Linked DNA regions of Caenorhabditis elegans. The protein of the gene in region 3 interacts with the protein of the main gene of each other region in a pairwise test. Each region holds a gene or a part of one and is shown on either strand. Other genes may lie near its edges. The genes, in order: tra-4, spc-1, ztf-20 and F49E2.2.

The links.
Region 1: the proteins of ztf-20 (region 3) and tra-4 interact in a two-hybrid assay, tested with the Caenorhabditis elegans proteins (one large-scale study listed by BioGRID).
Region 2: the proteins of ztf-20 (region 3) and spc-1 interact in a two-hybrid assay, tested with the Caenorhabditis elegans proteins (one large-scale study listed by BioGRID).
Region 4: the proteins of ztf-20 (region 3) and F49E2.2 interact in a two-hybrid assay, tested with the Caenorhabditis elegans proteins (one large-scale study listed by BioGRID).

Annotation. Positions count from the first base shown.
Region 1 is NC_003284.9:2,853,160-2,859,069, forward strand, and holds tra-4 (Zinc finger protein tra-4), read right to left. Parts: upstream 4,087-5,910; 5' UTR 4,079-4,086; coding exon 4,013-4,078; intron 3,962-4,012; coding exon 3,897-3,961; intron 3,116-3,896; coding exon 2,916-3,115; intron 2,863-2,915; coding exon 2,316-2,862; intron 2,264-2,315; coding exon 2,005-2,263; intron 1,595-2,004; coding exon 1,274-1,594; intron 1,009-1,273; coding exon 882-1,008; intron 830-881; coding exon 783-829; 3' UTR 520-782; downstream 1-519. Other genes in the region: comt-1 (Catechol-O-MethylTransferase family), read right to left, coding at 5,007-5,063, 5,374-5,472, 5,524-5,849. UniProt on the Caenorhabditis elegans protein: Probable transcription factor. Promotes normal hermaphrodite (XX) development, in concert with histone deacetylase hda-1 and nasp-1, perhaps as components of a complex.
Region 2 is NC_003284.9:3,124,043-3,128,645, forward strand, and holds the start of spc-1 (Spectrin alpha chain), read right to left. Parts: upstream 3,020-4,603; coding exon 2,817-3,019; intron 2,764-2,816; coding exon 2,679-2,763; intron 1,702-2,678; coding exon 1,576-1,701; intron 1,524-1,575; coding exon 1-1,523.
Region 3 is NC_003283.11:18,957,024-18,962,023, forward strand, and holds ztf-20 (C2H2-type domain-containing protein), read right to left. Parts: upstream 3,150-5,000; coding exon 3,068-3,149; intron 3,025-3,067; coding exon 2,906-3,024; intron 2,822-2,905; coding exon 2,628-2,821; intron 2,567-2,627; coding exon 2,381-2,566; intron 1,624-2,380; coding exon 1,449-1,623; 3' UTR 544-1,448; downstream 1-543. Other genes in the region: hrg-10 (DUF833-domain-containing protein), read right to left, coding at 154-283; Y39B6A.43 (DUF4124 domain-containing protein), read right to left, coding at 4,078-4,393, 4,528-4,725.
Region 4 is NC_003284.9:9,565,704-9,573,332, forward strand, and holds the start of F49E2.2 (SH3 domain-containing protein), read left to right. Parts: upstream 1-1,592; coding exon 1,593-1,725; intron 1,726-3,079; exon of another isoform or gene 3,080-3,204; intron 3,205-3,332; exon of another isoform or gene 3,333-3,353; intron 3,354-3,675; coding exon 3,676-3,807; intron 3,808-3,847; coding exon 3,848-3,898; intron 3,899-4,534; coding exon 4,535-4,686; intron 4,687-4,738; coding exon 4,739-4,977; intron 4,978-5,060; coding exon 5,061-5,244; intron 5,245-5,286; coding exon 5,287-5,433; intron 5,434-6,376; coding exon 6,377-6,544; intron 6,545-6,615; coding exon 6,616-6,753; intron 6,754-6,803; coding exon 6,804-6,898; intron 6,899-6,942; coding exon 6,943-7,135; intron 7,136-7,629. Other genes in the region: moc-5 (GTP 3',8-cyclase), read right to left, coding at 1-5, 112-276.

The DNA.
Region 1 (5,910 bases), on a different chromosome or scaffold from region 3:
AACTATAACTTTTCCAATTAAAAATACTTGAAATTAAAAACATTGAAGGATTCAAGTTTGATCCGTTCTTCAAGCACCACGTGGTGTTAGATTGTCCCATTTTGGTTTGCTTTATGTAGATCTACAAAAAATGCGGGAGGTGAGACGCAGAGTTCTCGTCAAATTTTTAAAGGCAAAAAATTCCCGCATTTTTTGTAGATCAAACCCTGATGGCACAGCCACACACCACGTGAAGCGCCATGCACCGCGCATCTGAAAGTCAAGTACACTGCCCGGTGGTACTCCCACTAGGCTTTATTTTAAGCCACGTCCAAGCCAGTGACTGTGGCCAATATTTTCCGTTAAGGTTGTGGGAACCTAAAGGGAGGCAGGACTTGTATTTCTCATGATTGCTACCGTCCTACCACCTGAGCATTTCCTGTAAGTTATCATGGTAACAAAAATGCAAAAAAAAAACAAAAAAGCGAAAGGTTCAGCAATTCAATGTGAACTATGTCATAAATTTCAAAATATCTACATATAGTAACCTGATTTATTTGTGTGTATATCATGAATAAAGTTGAATGATTGATAGCACGCTAGATTAAAACATTAAAACACGTCCATGGTCTGAAAAAAAGTAAGAGGTGTTACAGTAATAGTACAATCAACATTAAATGACAAAATTAAACCCTTTTTAACATAATCGGGAAGTGAAACAAAAACAAACAAAAAATTGAAAAAAAAATGTATCAAATGAAAGTGTGGTAGTTTTGATGAAGATCTGTGATGATGAAGAAGTTTCACTCGCCTTTGTAGAGTATCCACATCCGCGGAGTCTCCACGTATGCTGTAATTAAAATTCAATTTTAAAAATTCTGTCATTCGTTTTTCAGTGATACCTGTCGGCTCATCTGCTGCCAGGTAGCCTCCGTGCTCTTCATACACGTGATGTTTCATCTCGGGGTATTCCGCGTGACGTTCGTGACAAATCGCGCAAACATATCCATGCTCATCTCTCTTGTGTTCCTGGAATCAATATAATTAAAAGTTCATATAAGGGTATTCATGACAAAAGGGCAGGCACCAGGATATAATCTGATCTCATTGTGAGTCCTCGATTTCATCGCCGTAATAACATTGATTTTTCTTTTTTGTTTTTCTTCTTTTTTACATGTATGTTAATCCTATCTCAGAGCACCCCTTCAAAAAAAAACAAATGTCATTTTTACCATGTGATTTTTTATTATGACAAATGCTGACTTGAAGTTAATGTGTGAAAGAATAAGCTCACCTCCATAGCAGTGTATCGGTTTGCACGAAAGTCGCAAACTTTGCATTCAAACTTTATAATTCCCGTATGCATTCTCTCATGGGTCATCACTGCAACTTCACTAATGAATATCTCCTCGCAAAAATGACATTGGAACGTTTTTGTGAACACATGGGACATCTTCTTGTGCTTCCGAAGTTTACGCGGTGTAAGGAACTTCATGTTACAGAACGAACAGCGGAAACCAGAGTTCGCTCCACGATGGAACTTCTTTCGGTGATTTAGGAGACGATTGTCGGTGCAAAGATTTCTGATCGGAGTACATTCGAAGCAAACATAAGTCTGAAAATATTAATTATTTAAGAGCTTGTCTTTAGTTTGAACTGGAACAAAGATCCAGAATGTAGTATTCAATTATAAGTTTTAAAATAAAGAAATTTAAGTGTATTTGTTATTTGTTATAAATGAGGGTTTTAAACTAAAGTAGCGCCAGTGGGGAAATTGTTAGAAACCCCTGGCGCCAAAATGGCCAAATACAACACTTTTTTGATTTTTTTTTTCCCTAGTCCAACAGGAGCTATTACTGAGATTTTGCCACTTTTTGAGATAACTATAGCAATGTCGCATGATCAGAGTCCTACAAAGTTTGAATATTAATATTTGAAACAAAATTGAAATATTAAAAAAATAGAAGGAAATTTTTTTTTGATTGGCCAGGTAACATTTTTAGAGTTTTTTGTATTGTTTCTTACCAATTCACAGTCGTGATTCGCCATCTCTGCATCATTTTCAACACATTTAAAACATTTGAGACACTGCTGAAACTCGACCATCTCCTCGTGCTTCTTTGCAAAATGTTTCTTGAGGGAAAACTCATTTCTAAAACGTTTATCACAGAACGGACATTGCGGCGACACTTTTTTCTTGTACGGACGCTTTAGTTGCTTGATTCTTCCATAATAGTCAAAACGTGGGACCAGGCCGCCATTGTTTTCTCCGGGAAGGGGAATACTGAAAATGCATGACGAAATTTAGAAAATAAACGGAAAACTGCTGAACCTACTAGTTTGGATCCTCAGATGGTTGAGAAATCTCGTTTTCCGGCGGGATGAATCCTCCTGTTTGTAGCTCTTCAATGCGATTTGCTTCGATTTCTTCAAGCCGTTGCAGCTCCACTTCTTCTTCTTGTTCACGAATATATTCCTCGTAGAGATCTGGATGTTTGTCGCGCAGATGTCGTTCATAAATGTTCTTCTCGATAAATCGATTCTTGCACTTTTTGCATCGAACCATTTTCTGTCGAATCAGCTTGCGTACAATCCGAACATCCGTTGGAGCATTCGGTGGAGGAAGATCAATTCCATCCTGATGATCGGCTAGAGTTAGTGTCTGTTGAACTTCAGCAATACGGCAAGGAGGAAACTTCGAAGGGTCTCTGACCCGAAATCCCAACTCATCAAGAACAATTCGCTCTTTCTGGATGGGCTTGATTTCTCCTCGAATTTGCTTCATAAATTCTCCGACTCCACTGAGCTTTGCACGTTCTTTCTCTGGCTCTTCTTTCTCAACAGGAACCTTTGCTGACATTCCGAGTGCTTGAGCTAGAAGTTCTGAAAAAACACACGTTATTAGTAAAAACTTGTAGTTAGATGTTTCAAATTACCAAAACCGATTCCCTTTTTGATCTCTTCATCGTCGTCATCGTCCTCCTCGTCGTCATAGAGCTCGTCCTCATTAATTGTCGTTTTCTCTGTTTCAAGTAATGGAATCAAATCGGTCTTGTTATTCAAATCCATCTCATCGTCGTCGTAGGTGCCTTGCCAATTTGCTTGGTTGGTGTCGATAGTAAGCATCAGCATATTACTGAAAATTAAATTAATTAAATGATTTTTTCTGCATATTTTGAACGTATAGGCCCGATATGTGCTCAAACAAATGATTTTCGTAATGAAATCTTCACAATTATGGCGGTTCGAAATTTGGAAAAAATGGCCTAGCCGTACCTAAAACCTTAAATTTTGGTCACTTCCCGTATCTGATCGGTTGGAAGTTCACTTTTCTGAATTAACATCCCTTTGGACAATTTGGTCGTTTGGTACATTTAAAACTGTTAGGTGATCAATTTTTGTTATTTTTGGTCACCAATCGGCTTCAAAAGTACCCAAATTTACAAAATAAAGTACTATCAAAATATGCAATAAAATTTTATAATTCCAAAAAAGAAAATTTCCGACCTCTGCGACACAAAACAAGTTGACAAAATTAAGGATTTCAGCTAGTTTGGCTGTTTTTGAACCGACATAAAAATATTTTGAGAAATTTCATTACGAAATTCAAATATAGATTAACCAGCCGTGGACCGCACCTTCGGCGCGGCCCCCGACTTCTGGGGCTGAAAATTGATTTTTTATGAAACTACCGTCACCCTACAGTATTCCTACCGTACCACAATTGTACCACTACAGTACCCCGACTATATCCCTACACTAACCCTAACTCACTATCCCTACAGAAGCCAAAACTTCACAGACTACAAAGACCACATAGACTACAAACTATGGACACACAGAATAAGCGCTTTATATATAGTAAATGATTTTTTCGGATTTTACATATATTATAAAAAGAAACAAAAAAAACTTACTCCATTGTTGAGGATGAACCTTCTTCAATCGCCGGTTCTTGTTTCAAATTTTGTATCGTTGGCGCCTGAAATTGGGAAGAATTTTTGAGATTAGAAAAAAAATAACAGAAACTCACCTCTGTAGGTCTTGGTCGCGTTATGGAGTCCTCCTGTTTAATAGTGCATTGATTTGGGTCATCCATTGCCTGAACCGTGGGAAATAGTGGGTCGATAGTATGCGCGCGCGCGCACCAAAACACTGCACATTACAGGCGTACGCAGCGCGACCGCATCGCGTCTCTTCATTGAATTTCAGAGTTTCATCGATTAACTGGTTTTTGCAGGATTTTAAATAATTTTTTCAATTCATTTGATTGGAAAATAAAATAATTTAGGTTTGTGGAACTAAATCGAAATATGATATAAACATTTAGTTAAAAAATATATTAAAAAATACTATTTTCGAAAAAAACAAAAAAAGAATTACCGATAAAAATGTATTTGTAAATAGAAATATTGTAAAAATAATAACCTTGAAATATATATGAGACGCTCTCAAAAACGAAATGGAAGAGTTAATGCTATGGGTTTTCTAGTCCGCCTGTCCTCAAACAAAGAACGAAGGCTTCGCAGACAGATGTTTTAAAGATGAAGTAGCGGCATTGAAAAACGTGTTTAAAACTTCTCTATTAAAACCAAAATAGGCGAATAGTATTGTAAAACTTTTCAAAAAAGTTTAAATGTTTTATTTAAAATATATTTACTTATTTTTGCAACTCAAAATTTGGAAGCCGACAAAAAAAGTTTTTTCTACGCTTTTTAATACTTTAATTTTGTTTTCAATATTTCTGTTAAAACATTCTAGTGTTTGGAACACGCGATATTGCTCTGGATTTTCATAAAAGCTCTTTTTTTTTTTAAATTCTACTCTACCTCTAGCACACTGGGTTAACCGTTTAGAGTAACATTATGGAAATAAAAAAATATGAAGGTTTAAAAAATTTCATTGTCAAAATTATGAACACATATGAACCGGATTGATTGAGGACAAGAACACCACTTTACACGTGGCGATTGAGAAGTTTTAATGCAAATAAAAACATACAAAACAATGTTAATTCAAATTTTATATCAATTCTTTGTAACAATCCAGGTGCCGCCACCATATGGAAGTAGAGAAGCAGAAACCTGAAAAATGTAAAGTTTCTGATTTTTAATTAGTTATCTTAATATATTGGTTCAGGGTATTTTGAACGTATATACCAACAATGTGCTCAAACAAACGAATTTAGTTTTGAAACTTCACAAAAACTAGCGCTGCGACACTGAAAACTGCTCAAATTTTGAGAGAACAAGCCCAATTTTCTTTTAAATTTTGAATCCCCATAAAACATTTTGAAAATTTTTTCAGAAGTTTCATTTTGAAATTCGTTCAAAATACCCAAAACCGATACTCCCCCTTTCACTGTCTCAAAAATTTTTAAGTTAAATTTCTCACCCGGGGGTCTTGTTTGATGCGTATGTTCATGTTTCGAATGACCCTGTCATCGTTGGTCATGTGATCAATCGATGACATCACTCCACCACCATTGAGTGCCTAGAGAAAACAAAACGTAAAACTATTATTTCTAATTAAGAAATGAGGGACCTGGTTAATGATTAAAAGACCACCACTTCGAATCAGTCGAATTGCGTGTTCATAATCATCCAAATAGTTTTCCCTCTTAAAATCATCCAGAAACACAAAATCGAAAGTGTTGGGTTCATTTGTTGCAAGTCGAGGCAATGATTTTTCGATGCTTTCAGATGTTCTCATTTGAATTCTGGACATTTGCGTAGCCGTGAGTTTTCTTGCGTGCTTCTGCCCAATTTTATCCCAGAAAACAGCATAGGCCGGATGCTCAAGTGCGACAACAATTCCTCGAGAATCAACTCTTTCGGCGACACCGAGTAATCCAAGACCAGTGAATACTCCTGAACGTTTATTTTAACAATACAAATCAATTTTTCATTATAACAAGTACGTTAAAAAGAG
Region 2 (4,603 bases), on a different chromosome or scaffold from region 3:
TCCAAACGGTTCTCGTTAGCCTTAAGCTCTTGCTCAAAGTTGATGTGCTTTTGGAGTTTTCCACGAATGTTGGTAGGATCCAAGTAAGAATCGTCACGAGCGGTGGACAGTTTTTCAGTGATCCAGCTAACCATCTCATCACAGTCACGGTCAAATGTCTGGCGCTTGTAGCTTTCCTTGAGAGCATTTCCACGTTGACGAGCTCTGTCTAGAAGACGACGACGACGGTCAAGAAGAGCTTGGCGTCTCTCGGCAACATCATCAGCAGCGTAATGCTGTCCTTGAATGAGCTTGGTAGCAAACTCGTCAAGTGCATTGATCTTCTCCTCTTGAGCAGCAAGCGATTTCTCAAAGTCCTCGTGTTTCTTGATGAGGTGCTCGACAGAATCTAGTGAATCTCCCAAATCAGTGTTGGCAAGGAACGCTTCCTGCTTGTTCATCCAGGTTTCGGCTTGTTCAGTGTCACGATAGAAGAGTTGGAGATCCATACATTGCTCGTAGAGAATACGACGTTCCTCCCACAATCCAAGAAGAGAAGACTTCTCGTGGTCAAGTTTCTCGAGCTTCTCCTGAACTTCTGGACTCTCTGGAATTCCCATCTCAACGAGCTTTTGTCCAGCGGATGCAGTTTGGTTGAACGAGTCAGCACGAGCATCAATTTCTCCCTTGTGTTCTTGATGACTTTCAAGAAGAGCTTCAGCGCCAGCCACGTCTTTTGCAAGCTCATCAGCTCCGATGACAGCTTTCATGTCTCCAATCCAGCTAATCAAGTCACGGTAGTCGGCCAAGAAACGATGAAGCTGGAAGCTTCTCTCAAGTCCATCTTTGCGGTGTTGAGCCTTCTCCTTGAGTGCATTCCAGGCGGCTTTGGTGTCATCGTTCTTTTGATGAATCGCTTCAGCACGATCTGGATGAGTTTCTGCCAACTTATGAGCTTCTTTCTCCAATTGGAGCATCTTTCCTTCAAGAGCAGCAAGATCACGTTCAGTTCCTTCATGCTTGCGTTGAAGAGCTTGAACATTATTGAGGTCTCTTCCGTAATCATCGCTTGACAAAGCAAGATCCTTCTCTCCAATCCATGCAAGGGTCTCGTCTGCATCGCGATTGAAGCGTTGAACTTGATGAGCTCCAAAGAGCCCTTCCTTACGAGTGGCCGCCAAAGTGTTCAAACGATGCCAAGCATCATTAACGTCATCGCGCTTCTTGTAGATCTGATCGTGCTCAGAGTGTCCCTCCTCGACAAGTTTGTCAGCAGCTTGATTGATCTCATTGATTCGGTACTGATGGTTACCGAGTTCTTTCAAAAAGTCGTCAAATTTACGCTGAAGTATCTCAACGTGTTCGAGATCCATTCCCATGTCTTCTGCGGTGACATAGGTTTCCTTCTCTCGAATCCAGTAGAGAATTTCATCGCATTGACGAATAAAATGCAAAAGTTTAAGTGCTTGTTGTAGCTTAATTCCCTTATCCTTCAGTTTGAAGAAGAGCTTATCCCAGAGGGCGTGCAACTCTTCCAAGCGTTTCTGAAAATAATTAATCATCAGACTGTCAAATGTCTTTAGTGATTTTAAGTACCTTGATGTGTTCGCTAGCGAAATGATTGTGTTGGATCATAGCGTTTCCGGTCTTGTCGAGGTTGGCGATGGTCTTAGCGTGAGCTTGAACCTCAGCTTCGAACGCTTCATGCTTCTGGATCTTGGCCTGAAAATGTTTTATGATTTACATTTGATCATACTTTCATTTTGATGTAAAAAAATTTTCTCTTTCAATTCATGCTTCAAAACTAGTCAACTCTTACTCTCATTTTTTTTTCAACCGCTAAACCTAGCAACAGAAACATAATCGCCTCATCTATCTTCTTACTCGTCAGTATTACTTATCATTCCAGGCATTACAGGAAACCGGCGGATCAAGTCAGGTCACGTCAGTTGCGATTACGCAGTGTCAAGGCCGTGTACGAACGCCCGACTTTTTATAGATTCCCGTCTATTACTATATGTATTCATCTCATCTTTCGATCGGAACGCATGATAAAAAACGGCGGCGAGGATTAATTGGAACCCCCACAGGAATTTATTGGGTTTTCAGTGTGTTTCATTATAAGTAAAGGTGAATGATATTAGGAGCAGTAAAAAATTGTTTCCTCAAAGACTTTTTAACTCCTAATTTCTAGCGCTCATATCTTCCAAAATGACGATATTGTGTAAAAAGATTTCATTTTCATCTTTTCTGCTTCCCAGAAAATAACTAAGTTAGCAAAATTCACATGTACTCCTCTCTACTCGAGCCAATTGTTTATAAATGTAATTGTGCACTACATTGCTTTCAGTTCCTAATCTTCAAGTGAGCATGCATGTTGGGGGTCGCAGATGCGTTTCTCGAAACGAAGGCACAGAGAAAAGCGCTGAAGCGAACCACTCAAATCAATATATTTTTGCTGCTGCGCCTTTGTCGTTGCTCCCAAAAGACATTTGTGTGCCCCCAAACAAGGCAGCAGAAGAAAGGGGTCCGAGTGTCCCCCCGAGGGAAAATGAACCAAGAGAAAAGAATTGTGCGAGTTGTCGTCAAAAAGGATTGAGAATGGAAAGCTGGGGACCAACCACAGAAAATTTATGTTTTAGATAACTTTGAAATAGATGATGAATACGACTGAGAAATAATGAGAAGATGGTACCAACCTGGAGATTGCTCGGATCTCTGAAGTTTTCTTCCTGAGCTGTCTGGAGCTTTTCAAGAATCCAAACGTTCAACTCATCAGCATCTCTTTAACAGAAAAATTAGAATTCTAGACAACCCAACAAAATTTTAGAACTAACCGTTTGAAATATTGAAACTGACGAGCTTCCTCGAGACGATCTCGTTTTGTCTGCGAGTGATCCTTGAAAATTGAATAGTGACCTAATACTTCCTGACGACGTTGGTGAATGTCATCAGCAGTCTCCAGAATACGAATCTCCTGTGGTGGCGGTACTTCTAGCACCGGCTCTGGTGGAGCATGAGTGTCATTCGAATCAGCCATAATCTTATTTCGCTGAAAAACAATTGTTTTAAAACCTCCATAGAAATGAAAATGAAAGAAAGTTGATTATGAAGAGACCGTAACAGAAACAAATGAGCAAATAAATGAGAAGAATGTAACAAAAAAAATCAGAGAGAGCTTTAGAGGATAAATACAACGTGGGAACAAATAATGACGAAGTGCGGAAAAGAATCACCTGGGAGACAAAAAATAATAGAAAATGGGAAAGCTTGTGGCTTTAATTTAATAAGCTTATAAATTCTACGAATGAAAATTTACCAAGAAAGTGTTACTCAAAAAGTATATCATGTCAAAAGTAATTTTAAAAGGTGGTTCCATTTCCAGCCCACACAACTGTCAACATTTTTGAACTGATAACAATATTTCGATGAGTCAGACTAACTCCGACTCCGCCGTTTACAAGCTGTGTTGAAATTGAACACACAGCTGTCAGAAACAGAAGAGACATTACAAAAAAGGGGTTTTGCACAATGCAGCAAATTTTGAAAATGATGAAACAAGAAAGAATATGCTCTCAAAGTGAAAAAAGGAGATGACTTCAACTGGTTCAAGTACAAGAAGAGCTGGCAGCTATCGATCGCCCAAAACGACCCCCGCGTCCACAACACCAACACAAAACCGAATGCAGAGAACGAGAGAGTGTGGCTAGAGAAGCAGAGACAACAAGAGGGGAGACGACTGCAGGCCTGGACGCGCTCGTCCCGCTCAGCCTCGCACACAGCCGCGCTCTGACTGCCCTCACACACACTCACACACACACACACTCACAAAAACGCACTCTTCTATTAAATGCCAGCGATTTCCTCTCAACAGCACACAGTCCCTCACCGAATGCATCATCCTCCATCTCTCCAGTTACTCGCAGTTTGACTCTCTCTCTCTCTCCGGGGTCTCCGCCAACACACACACCACCGACCACACATTTATGTATATATTCGGAGATGGAGTATAAAGTATGTCCTCCAAATATTTGCAAGTTTCACTGATGTGTTGTCAATAAAATTGGGTAATCGATTTGGAACGGAAGAAGTGATGATGAAAGAGAAAGTGACAGAAATTATTAAAACGGGAAGCGGGAAAGCGGGAAGGATAACCGAAAAAACATAACTTCAAAATTTGGAAGTAAAAGTGAGTAAATGAGCAAATTAGAAATTTCTTTGCACAAAAGAATATTCGTTTTAGTTTAAAAACCACGATACAAAACCTCCAAACTCAAATAACTACATCCACTTACGCTAAACAACTGAATGATTTAAAACAATAGGGGACCCCATTCTATCAAATCTAAAAGCATCCACACAAAAAGCCGAAAAAGGGATTCTTCAAGGGCTTTTTTCTTAAGTGACATGGTCAAGCTTTGGTTCATAACAAAAGTGAGCAAACACCGGAAACGGGGAGCCGCGCCAAATCTGTCAAGTGCCGGATGGAGGCCACCTGCGTTCGAAAACTTCCTGCGGACACATGAGTGAAGGACGGCAATGAAGGAGAAGGAAACACAAATGAAAACTATTAGTTCTCTCTCGTTTTCGAGTTCGTCACACTCTGAGAAGAGGCAAAGAAATT
Region 3 (5,000 bases):
CTCAATTTTCTGAAAAAAAAATTTTTTTTTCTAAATTTTAAAATTTTCTAATTTTTTTAAAACCTTCACATAGGTTTTCAAATATGCGGAATTCGATTTCTTTATTTCAATTTTTCCAATTTTTCCCTGTAAAGTGATAATTTCCAGCCTTACCACTCAGCATCCCATCGTGCCAGTGAATGGGAGTAGTCGGCCGGTCCAAATCCTCATCTCTATTGTTCAGAATAATTAATTTGTATTTTTCACTGGGTGAAGTAGCAATTTTAATAAATCCAATGCACATTTTGGAAAACTCTGGAAAAAATCCGAAAATGAATTTTTAATTGAATTTTTTGAATTTTTTGAATTTTTGGGTGAAAAGTGTTGGAAATTTGCAAATTTTGAACAAAAATGAGAAGTAGTTTGAAGAAATGAAAAATTCCAAAAGAAAATTTCCAAAAAAAAAAATTTCAAAAAAAATTTTTTTTCAAATTTTTTCAACATTGAATATTATCAGTGCTACAATACACATATGACCACAATATAGGCTTCAGTGCAAAAGTTTTTGCAGAAAAAAAGTTTATTCCCGGGGAAAATAACATACAAAGTACACACAGAAACGCGGGAAAAAATGATGACATTTTCTTTATCACAAAAAAATATCAGATAAGAGAACAATAATCAGAGATCATAAAACAATATATACACTGGAACAATACAAAAAAGAAAAGATAAATAATTTTTTTCCAAATTTTTTTATTTTTGAAAATTCCATAAATTTCATATTAAATTCAATTTTTCCTTTAAATTCTGAGCCTTTTACATTTTTTCTGGAGCTTCTAGCCCAAAATCTAGAAATTTGGGTTACTGTAGTTTTGGAAGTACGCAAACACCGGATTCTACGGAATTTTGCACAAAAACGCTGAAAAGAATGATATAGATGTGAAATTCGTCGGAGAGCTCGAATTTCACACTGAAAAAATGTTTAAAACTTCGGAAAATGCTGAAATTTCAGATTTTTGGATTTATATTGATTTTCGACACTAAAAATTGAGAATTCTCATGTTTTAATGTGCAAAATTCGAATTTCCCGTCGAATTCTGAGTGAGAATCGTTTTTCCCGGTATTCTAGCGCTGAATTTGAACATTTTCGGGTACTTCACACTGCAAAGGTTGAAAAAATCTCAAAAAATGCTGAAATTTCAAGCATTTAGAATTTTATGGTATTTTCCGCAGTTAACATTTGGTATTTGTATACTTTACTGAAAAATTCGAAATTTTTATCGAATTCTGAGCTAATCCGTCTATTTATAGGCTTCTAGAGTTAAATTTGAGAAATTTTGGGTACTGTAGCGCCGAAAGCACGCAAACACCGACTACCGTACTCAAAACACCGGACTTGACGGAATTTTGCACTAAAACTCTGCAAAGTTGCTACCCGAGGTAAAAGGTGATGAAAAACTAGAATTTTACAATAAAATCTCATCAGAAATTGCAGAAAATTTCGAATGATTTCTCTGACAATGTCGTTTCAAGTTCTTTTCACTATCACTGCTATATTCGCATTTCTCGCATCGAATTGATCCTCCTTTAATATTCATTCCACGTTGAAAATGTGTCTGATGATTTGTTTGTTTTCCATGTCTGAAAATATTTAAAAATTTAAGAAAAATCGTGAAAATCTGTAAATTTTAGAGAAAAATCGATTAAAAATCTGCAAAAATCAATAGAAACTGTTTTTGGTAACTACTAATTTTTTGGGCGCTGCTAATTTTTTGGGCGCTGCTAATATTTTAGGCGCTGCTAATTTTTTGGTCGCTGTTAATTTTTGGGCGCTGCTAATTTTTTAGGCGCTGCTAATTTTTTGGCGCTGCTAATTTTTTAAGCGCTGCTAATTTTTTGGGCGCTGCTAATTTTTTGGCGCTGCTAATTTTTTGGTCGCTGCTAATTTTTGGTCGCTGCTAATTTTTGGTCGCTGCTAATTTTTGGTCGCTGCTAATTTTTGGGCGCTGCTAATTTTTGGGCGCTGCTAATTTTTTGGCGCTGCTAATTTTTTGGGCGCTGCTAATTTTTGGTCACTGCTAATTTTTGGTCGCTGCTAATTTTTGGGCGCTGCTAATTTTTGGGCTCTGCTAATTTTTTAGGCACTGCTAATTTTTGAGCGCTGCTAATTTTTTGGGCACTGCTAATTTTTTAGCCGCTGCTAATTTTTGGGCGCTGCTAATTTTTTGGTCGCTGCTAATTTTTGGTCGCTGCTAATTTTTTGGGCGCTGCTAATATTTTAGGCGCTGCTAATTTTTTGAGCGCTGCTAATTTTTGGGCGCTGCTAATTTTTTGGTCGCTGCTAATTTTCTGGGCGCTGCTAATTTTTGGGCGCTGCTAATTTTTTGGGCGTTCTCACCTGTAAAGTGCTTTTCGATTAGGAAAACTCCCCGAACATTCCGCACAAATCGATTTTTCCCCGCAGATTTTTATCGATTTTTTCGGAATTTCCGGTGGTTTTTCTGGCGGTTCGGCGGGAATTTGAATTTTTCGCTCAATTTTTCGGCGAGGAGGTCGTGTCGCGTGTTCGGCGGTTTTTCCGTGTCTGAGAAAATATTTTTTTAAAGAAAATTTCTGTTTTTTTTTTAAATTAAAATATAATATACCTGTAAAGCCCTTTCCGATTGTTAAATGCATCTCCACACGTAAAACAGTACAATTCTCTAGGTTGTGACGTGACGAACGACGATGACGTAGTAGTGTCTAATGCCACGTCATCATAGTAGATGAAATCCTGCGATGACGTAGACGGCTCCAGGTGACCGAGAAAATCAGCGGCGGATGGATCCAAGAAATCTTCCTGAAATGATGAGAAATTGCAGCGCCCAAAAAATTAGCAGCGACCAAAATTCCAAATTTCCCAAACTTTTCCCTAATTACGTACCACCATATGTTTTCCCATATCCACTAGACATTCTTCCTGTGTATTTTGGAAGTTATCCTCAATAAATATCACACTTTGTGTCATTTCTTCAACTGCTGCGTCCATACGTTCTGGAAGTACTTTTTTCAAAAAATTAAAAAAATTTTGCTCGTCTCTACAAACCTATTGCTTCTGAAAGATGAACGTCTGGTAGTTGTGAAAATTCGTGTTTGAGTTGCTCTAGGTGTTCTAAGAAGCTTTCCATCTGAAAATTAGTTGATCGTGGCGGGACCCCCCAGAAATTCGAATATTTTCTGAAATTTTCAAACTTAGTCATGATTATACTTTTTCAAACCGCAGTGGTCTTCTGATTCCAAAAATTTACAGAAAATGGGTCTCACCACGAAAACCAGAAGTTTTCATGGCCGGACCCAAAAATTCAAACTTTTCAAACCTAGTCATGATTATACTTATTTAAACCGTCATTTTATACTAATTTCTAATAATGTCAAATGAAATCGATTGCTCGAAAATTCACACTTTTCGTGGCGAGACCCAAAAACTCGAAAAAATAAATAAATTCGGAGTCTAGTAATGATTATACTTATTAGAACCGCCATTTTATGCTGATTTCAAAACTATAAAATTTCAGGAATTTCGATCGAAAATCACCGAGTTATCCTAGTTTTTCTGATTTTCGCGGCGGGACCCAAAAATTTAAAATTTTTAAATAGTCGTGATTATACTCATTCAAACCGCGCATTTCATGTCAATTTGAAAACTATTATGAACTAGAAATTTCGATCGAAATTTGCCGAGTTCCGCTAGTTTTTTGGTTTTCGTGGCAGGACCCAAAACTCAAAAAAAAATTAATGAATTCGAAACCTAGTCATGATTATACTTATTCGAACCGCTGTGATCTCCTGATTTCAAAAACATACAAGAAAACCAGCGGGTTACTGTAGATTTCATGGCAAGGCTCAACTTTTACAATTGTCGTTAAGTTATAATGGAAATTCGAAACCATATTGTGTAAAAGTGACTCAAAATTGAAAAAAAAAAACAATTATTTATTTATTTTGAAAATTAAAAAAATTCAAACAAAAATCCAAAAAAAAAAATTTTGAAATTTTTTATTTCAAAATTTAAATTTTTCGCATTTTCAAAAACTAAAAAAAATTTAAAAAATCATTTCAATATTCCATCGTATCCTGCACAATAACTTCTTCTTCTTCAATAATTTGTTCATGATCCCACACTTCTTCTTCTTGTTCCTGATGTACAATATGGTGGTGGTGCTCCACACCGAATCTCTGCTCCATTCTAGCCAAAAGCCCGTCGGCCCGGTCTAAAACCGCCGAAAATCTGTCCTGATTTTGCATTTCTCGTCGAATAAGCTGTAATTTCAGCTCGTGAAGGTTTTCAGCCGATGTTGATGACGTGGATTGTTGGGGTTCCGGTGGGAAGGTGACACGTTTTAGTAGCGGTGGTGGTGATGGGGCAAGGTTTCTGGAAAAAAAACTTTTGTTAAAAAACATTAAATATGATATTTCTTATTGAAAAATAGAAAATAGAAATTTGAGATTTTCAAAAAAAAAAAATTTTTTTTTCAAAATTTTTATATTTAATTTCGAATTCCGTACTTCTGCAAATTTTCTACCACAGGATCCATAGAACCAGTAGCCTCCACAAATTCTTGTTCCTCATCAGCAATTTGTTGATATCTCGAGTACTCCTTAGACTCTGTTCGTACTCCATTTTGCTTGAAAGCTGGCTCAAATTGAATTGGTTCACCTTTCCAGTAGTATACAATTACAGCGTACTCAGGGGATCCCGGGAAACTGCAAAAAATTCGGTTTTTGAAGGTGGAAAGCTCAAGAAAATTGGTTTTGTTTAAATTCTACATTCTCTTTAAAAAAATACAATAGCTTTGTTCAATTTTTCATCTGAATCCCTATATTTTACAGTATTTCTGAATAGATATATCGAATTAAAACTCAAAACCACAATAGTTTTGCTCGAAGTGATTCAAATATTGTATATATTTTGTTTCGAACGCGCAAAATCGAGTGTATTTATTTTCAGTGAAAAAGTTTTCTTTCAATCGTGTTGGTTT
Region 4 (7,629 bases), on a different chromosome or scaffold from region 3:
TCAATCTGAAATTGAACGATGAACGACAAGTGAACTTTCAGAATTTTCTTATATTTTCTTATCTCTTTCTCTGATTTCTGAAGCTCATTTGCACAATATGTTTAAGAATACCTCTTGAATTTTTAGTCTGACTGCTTCTCTTTTTTGTTCGGGCGTCAACGTGAGTATTGGTTCGGCATGTTCTCGTAATGGAACAGTTAGTTGTTTTACAATTTCTTCTGTTGACGACTTGACCCGTGACCATTGAAATAACTTTTTTCCTGCTCGACAACTCATCTGTAATATTTATATCAAAACACTTTTAAAAATGCGGTGCGATTAATTTATTGATTAGGAATTGAGAAAAAAAACAAAACCTAGAGAAAAGGTGTAAAGTAAACTCCAAGCAGCACATTGTGGCTCTCACGCTCAAACATAAATCGTGGGCGTTGAAACCATAGAAAATGCAAAACGGAACAACGGGAATGTTTTGTCATCATACAGGTTGATGGGCACTCTACTCTGCATTGGTGATTTGCAATTCAATTCCGAAAAGTGATTTTTGTGTCGACGAAGGAGAAAACGAACGTGTTGCAGAGAACAAAAAGAAAAAGAGGGATAGAGGCTCAGGAATTTTGGACTTTATATATCAGGAAATGTATTTTTAATGAAAATGAAATATCATGATTCGGTCTAACGATTTGAAAAACTCAGTAACTTTTGAATGTCAATAAAAAATTTTTATTCCAGCTGTTGAAAAGTGTTACTATTCTATTTGATCATTTTGGCATTTTATGGATAATTTTTAACAATTTTCTTACTGTCGCTACTCCACCTTAATTAATTTCTGATGCAAGTTATTAATTTCTGATGCAAGTTATCAATGTCTGATTTTCAAATGGTTCGTGAAAATAAATCGAGGTTTTATCATTATCTTTTAATCAATATGATTCTGACGCTAGAAACACAATATTTCTGGAAGAGACAACAACATTGTTTGTCAAAAGATAAACAAGCGAATATATTTCAGAACATTTGTGTGCTCTTGACTATCATTTCCTCATAGTTTCTAAATCAGAAGGAGTGTTGCCATTATGAGTAAGTTAAATACCGTGTCCCAAAAATATAGTGTACTCATAAACCCCTTTTTTTAAAGTTGTCACGTCCTCCAAGTGTCCCATCTTCCAAACATCTCTATTTCTCTCTGTCTTTCTTTCTGACGTGTCTTTTTAACTCTTTTGGTGACCCCTGTAATTTGTACATTGTATAATAAAGCATAGACTATTTGAGACAGAGAGAGCGATGTGAAAAGGGCACTTGATACAACGTAAAAAAAATTGTTACAGCTGGCATCTTCAATCTGGGCGCTCGACGATCTTCGCTGATTGGGATGAAACTATGGAGATGGAGAGGTGAGGATTTTTGGGGTAAAAATATTCAATCAATTTAAGTGACTCATACAAACACAAAAAAATCATGTTATCAAAATCCATTCAATAATAAAATTGCAAAAAATAAATACGGAATGTTCCAATCTGCCTCCCTCATTCCCATCCCATTCCATTCTTTTGTTCTGTTTGTCCTGGTTTTCATCGAAATATTGATAAACTCCAATGGAATCTGCAACTGACGAGTTTTACTACCAATCTCGCATTCCACCACAGCCATCCCCTTTACCAGCTCAAACTCTTGAAATTAACGGTCACAAATATGTTCTCAATCATCGTTTCAAGAGTATCAAGATTGGTAAGTATGGTTATACGTCCGAGTGATTGGCAAACGACCTCGGGATACATACGTTTTGTTAGCCGGATAGTTACGACGTGTTTTTTTGGAGGGAGAAGACGAACGGAATAGAAAACTTAGACATTAGTCATGCTTGTCAGTTGTGTCGCGCGTCTCTTTGTGCCAAAAAACTTCGCCACATGTTAAAAGGTTGGTCAACTTTTGTTTGTATCGAGGGAAATACTGAACTTAAATGCAACATTAATATTTTCATAGAATAAAATGTAAGTATTAGTTTCAAAAAGTTACATTTTAAAGCTTTATAATTTGCAGCTCAATTTATATTTTCAAATATCTCTGAGAAGCATGTGAAAATATAACTTTCATTTTGAGGTGTTCGTAACATTATATAAGTTCTCGTCTTCTGAACACTACCTAGAAATTTAATATATTGTTGGAATTGGAGTTGGAAATGTTGGAAATCATGTGGGGATGCCCGAATGTAGGTGTCCCTGTAAGACAAAACTAGGCAAATCAATAAACACGATTTTTTAAGTGATAATGTGTATGTATTGTAGCTTTTACTTGTGAATTAATTTCATAAGCAACTTAACTTAACTGTGCTAGTGGTATTTTTTGTTTAGTTACATTTTCCTAACAATGATACACTTATTTTGATTGAGCAAGATGCTCAACATATTTCTACTGTCTTTGATGTTTCACATGTATAACGCAAATTTTGAACATACATGTTCAAAAAATCATTATTTACTCACTTATTAACAACATTGGTATGACAATGTAATTTAAATTGCGGTATATTAAATCAATAATTTTTTATGGTTTAAAATAAGTTTTGAGTTTTGACTACTTCTCTAAATTTTGAATAAATTACAAAACGAGTTACTTGTAAAGATGCCGATCAACTTTTGTAGCACAATAATTAAAGTTGTCCTGTACTTTATTCATAGCTTTATTTAATTCTAAACAAATTTTATTTTACTTCACGGGTCAGTGTTCAGAATTGAAACAATTAAAACAAACTAGAGTTCAATGTTTTACTAATAACACTCACTATCAGGTTTCTTTACAAGCTTAAACGATGCGTTTTTTATATTTTTATATTATTTAATTTCAAATTATTCAAATGTTGTTCAAAAAGTTGCATACGGCTTGTCATTTTTTTTTGTCAGATGTCACCATTCTCTGTTGTCACGCTCTTAAAATTGATAGTGTCAAAATGTCAACAGTATTTCTTCACACAATCAGAATAGTCGCTTCAGAATGGCACAAAAACTTAAAGTAGGCGGCGATTTTTGGTTTTGTTTCACACTCTCCCAATCTGCCAGGTTTCTCGCCGCTTGGCGCCGATGCCCGGGTAATGTACATAATCAAACGCACGCAGCATACCAAAGTCGGGGCTCTTATCACTTGCACAACGCTTTTTCAATAGGTGCCTGCCGCACTGCGTCGTTTCATGAACTTGGTTGTACGCTCGCCTCATTTTCTTATAGAGTGTACACTGTTTTAGGCGTTTTGCCGGCATAATGGCCATTATTTTACTCCAAAAATGAAATATTTTTTGTTTCATTCCTTTCTTATGACACATGTTGCGGTGATAACCATAATCGTTATGATGGAAAGTGGAATTCAGGAATGTTGGCAAACAAAATGACTTTATAACACTATTTCTTCAAAAAATATAGATATTTGTGTTTTATTGATTTAGGTTCACCGTCTTAGGGTTTTTTTAAGTTCTATAACTTGTTTAGTTGTATATTTTTTATAATATTTAGTGTCGCATGCCTTTAGCAATTAACAATATCAATAAAGAAAGTTTCTCGGATGGCAAAAGCGTTATCTACAACAGACCAACCCTGCCCATAAAATATTATAAAACTTTTCCCGCAAAAGTAGTGCATTACTTATGAAAATTGAATGTCAAACAGTTTGCAAAAAGTTGGTTTTCAGTCTCTCATCGGTATCCACCAATCATCCCGATGTCGGTCGACGAACAAGCGGTACCACCGGAGGTTTCGCCTTCAATGGCTGCCAACATTCCACAGATGGTCCACGATCAGCTAGCCGCACAGTTTTTGCCAGGTACCTCTTGTTTAGGTTAACATACACAACAAAATTTCAGCGGCAAAAAATCTTGGGCAAGCCGGAATGCATCTACTGAAAACATATTACAGTAAGTATTTTTGATCAGAAAACAATAAGTTCTCTTACACAGTATTCTTTCTATGCTTTTGTTGTATTTTAAAAAACCTGAGAATGCCTAAATTGTGGCTCGAAAATAGCGGCAACAGGGAAAACAATCGGCGAAGAAAGATATAGGTTCCTTCGCTACGAGATATTCCCGCGCCAAAACGGTAGGCACTCTCATGATCTCATGGTTTCTTAATATTGTAAGAGATGAGAAGTAAAAAAAATTAGAAAACGTTACTGCAAAAAGTTGGCAAATATACGTTGAAAGTATTATAGTTATCATGGTCGGGACGGTTTGTAACAATGGCTCAATAATGTGAATAAAATATACTCAGCTCATCCCATTTCTGTGTTAATAATTTGTTTATAACTCAATTCAGTTTGTATCGCAACACATGAAAACATGTGTAGTTGAAAGACGCATTCATAGAACTCGAGTTTTATATTTTCATAGTTTGTGCCTAAAAATTCAATGACAAAAACTATATTTTTTGTGAGAGTGGAAATTGAAACATTTTCGTTTGCAATCCATATCAATGTAGGTCAAGAAAAATAGCTTTTCAATAATCACATCAAGTTTTCAAGATGACAAGAGTATATAAAAATTTGCAATTTTCAGTGTTCCAAGAAGCATTGTCAAACTATTGTGATGCCACTCACAAACTTATCAAATCAGCTGATACTGCTGGACACAAATCGAAAAATGAAGCTCGAGAGCTTTCAAAAGTTTTTAAAGAGTTTGTACAGGGAGTAAATGCTCATCAAAAAGTCGTAAGCATCAATCTAAAGAAAAGTTTCGCATTCAATATATAATTAAACATAGATTACGGAATTTGACGCGCTGGCACACAAAGTTCATGACTATAGCAACAAGGAAAAAGACAAGCTGAAGACAGAATTTGCTGAGTACAAAGCAAAAGAAAAAAAACTTCTGAAACGCAAAAATGGAGAAACTGAACAAGATATTACCGCGTTCCATAAAAAAGAAGCAGCCAGCTGGGCAAAACAACAGGAAATGAGATACAAATTTTTCAATGACAAGCTGCAATCCTGGATTCACGGGTGAGTTAAATGTAATTAGAATTGTGAAAATAGCAACATTAATTCAATTTCTGGAAAAAAAAACTCTCATAAAATATTATCAGATACGTCGAAATTGGGAAATTATTCCAAGCCCAAGAAGTGATTGTTCAGCCAGCAGTTGGGAGTGTGATCGCTGCACCGGTTGAAATTGAGACCATACCAGAAGACCACAAAGATTGGCATCAAGATTTACATGAGCATGCCGCCGTTGTTGCAGCTGAGGAAATTAAAGAGAATGTTGAAAAGGTAAAACACAATTTAATGCGTGTATATCATATTAAATTTCAGAAAGTAGATGAAGCTGTACAGGACAGCCGCAGCAATTCGACTTCATCGGTTGCAACAACGCTAGAGGATCTTCCATCTTCTCGTCGTCTCACAAATGACGTTTCCGGAGTCACACTGGTTAGTAATTATCGCCGTCAATCAATTGAGGTTAGTTGAGGACTAATATGTCATGTGAAGAAATGTTTCAAAGTTGTTATAAGTCAATATTGTGTATAAACAATAGGTCATAGTTACATTAAATCACGTACATAAAACTTATAATACATACGTTTCATTTTGTATTAAAAAAAAAGAACACTCACATTTTCAAAGTTTATTACTATGTGTAAGCCATCGGACTAGTTGTAGGATACTTAAAATTTGAACTGTTGAAGCAAGGAGGTATTCAAAATTTCTCCTATTTTGAAAAATTCGCATCTGCAATAACACTATTTTTTAATGTTTGTATAATGTCCGCATGTGCTATTAAATTATCTAGGATAAAAATCAATAAAAAACGCAACATTTTGAATTTTAATTTAGATTAAAATCAGTTTATTTATTCATAGTTAAGCCTGCATGAACTTTCAATCAGCAACACAGTGTTTTCAAAATTTAACAATAGAATTCAAAAATGTTTGTAAACATCGAAGCAAAAGTCTTTAATCGAAAAAAGAAATATTAGCATCGTTTTGTCAATTAGATTTTATTGAGTTTTCACTTTGGTTTTGAAATCTTGGCAATCTTTCTATCACGTTTTAGAAATGTTACGCGAATTTTAAAAGGCTGACTGAAGAACAACTATTTTCACGTGTTACATAATTATCAAAATTTTTTCGTAACAACTTCACGTGTTTGTTTAATGGTAGAATAGCGACGTATGAATAGTTGCTCTATTTGACTCAAAATTACCTCACATAACATTACTATATTTTATTTAATCTTTCACATAAAGTTTTTATCAAAGATTTGAACTGCAGTAAAAACATTTCATATTCTTATTATGTATTCACAACGTGCCCCGAATTAAAATACCATGCATTGGTTTTTACAAACAGTAAATGCAACTGGTTTATTTCGAAGAAAAATTTAATTGCCGTATTAATTTCAGATTCAACAACTTCCACCCAACAACAGCTACTCCCACATTGCTCCACCAGTCTTGCCGCCAAAACCAGTTGTCGAAAACCCCCAATATGCTCCGATTCGCGCTCAACCAGTTCCAGTCACACGCCAGGAGGAGAGCACATACGCCCCTCGTCATAATGTTGTCGCCGAGGTAAGCATCTGGTGTAATCATCTTTTCACTCGCTATTATTTGTCCATTTTGATAAAACTATGCGTTTCCAGCAAGTGCCTCAACAGCCGGTTAATAGCGCTCCAGGTGGTGTCCGCCGTGCTGGAAACACAATTCCAGGTGCTGTTAATGTTTTCGGATTTGCAAATCAATCAAATCCTCAGCCAAATGTCCGCTACACGCCTGTTCAGGTAAAAACTATTCGTGTAATTTTCAATTTTCAAGTGTGATAATCCTTCAGAATAGCACGCCTTATCAAGTTGTTACCAGCGATTATATTCGCGTTGGGAGAGTCGTCGATAATCCAGTGACAGAGGAGCAAATGAATGCTAAAAAGTGAGTACTCACAAGAAATTTGAAAAAAAGAACGACATATTCAGATTCCACGTGGATTCTAGTTACCTTCCAATGGCTGCTCCATCTCACCAAGCACAACAACACAGTCGCAATCATAGTACAGATATTTCGGTTCCATCATTCTTCAACCCATCACAATATGGAAGTATTCTGATTGTTAACGATGATTTCAATGCTTCTTCCGGAGAACAGATGACTGTGAATCGTGGAGACAAGGTACCAAAAACTTTCTAAATAATTTTGAAAAATTAAACTAAAACTTGTTACTTTTTGTGACGTCAAGAAGAAAACAAAAAGAATATAAAACTTTCAAGCAAAACGGCAAACCGATAAAATTTCTAACAACAGACCGGTGCCCTAAAAAAGTGGTAACATTTGCCTGTATCAATATTTTAATTTGACACTATTATAGGATTTGAAAGCCTACATGAGTAGAGTTTCATGAATGTTTTTTTTAATCAAAATCAATTTAAGGTTATTAATTTTTTATCAAAAAAATCTTAGCATTGGTTCGAGATATTTAATTTATGGAATTCGTTTTTACATTCAAACAAGTCCTTACTGAACATTTGTCTAACAGGCTCTTTGTAATATTTAGTATTGAATTAGAGAATACTTGCAAAACATAGTGTAGTTGAAAACTATGTTGATGTTGTTCTTTGTTAGATATTTTGAAACATGCATTAGTCACCTCCACAATTTTATCACAT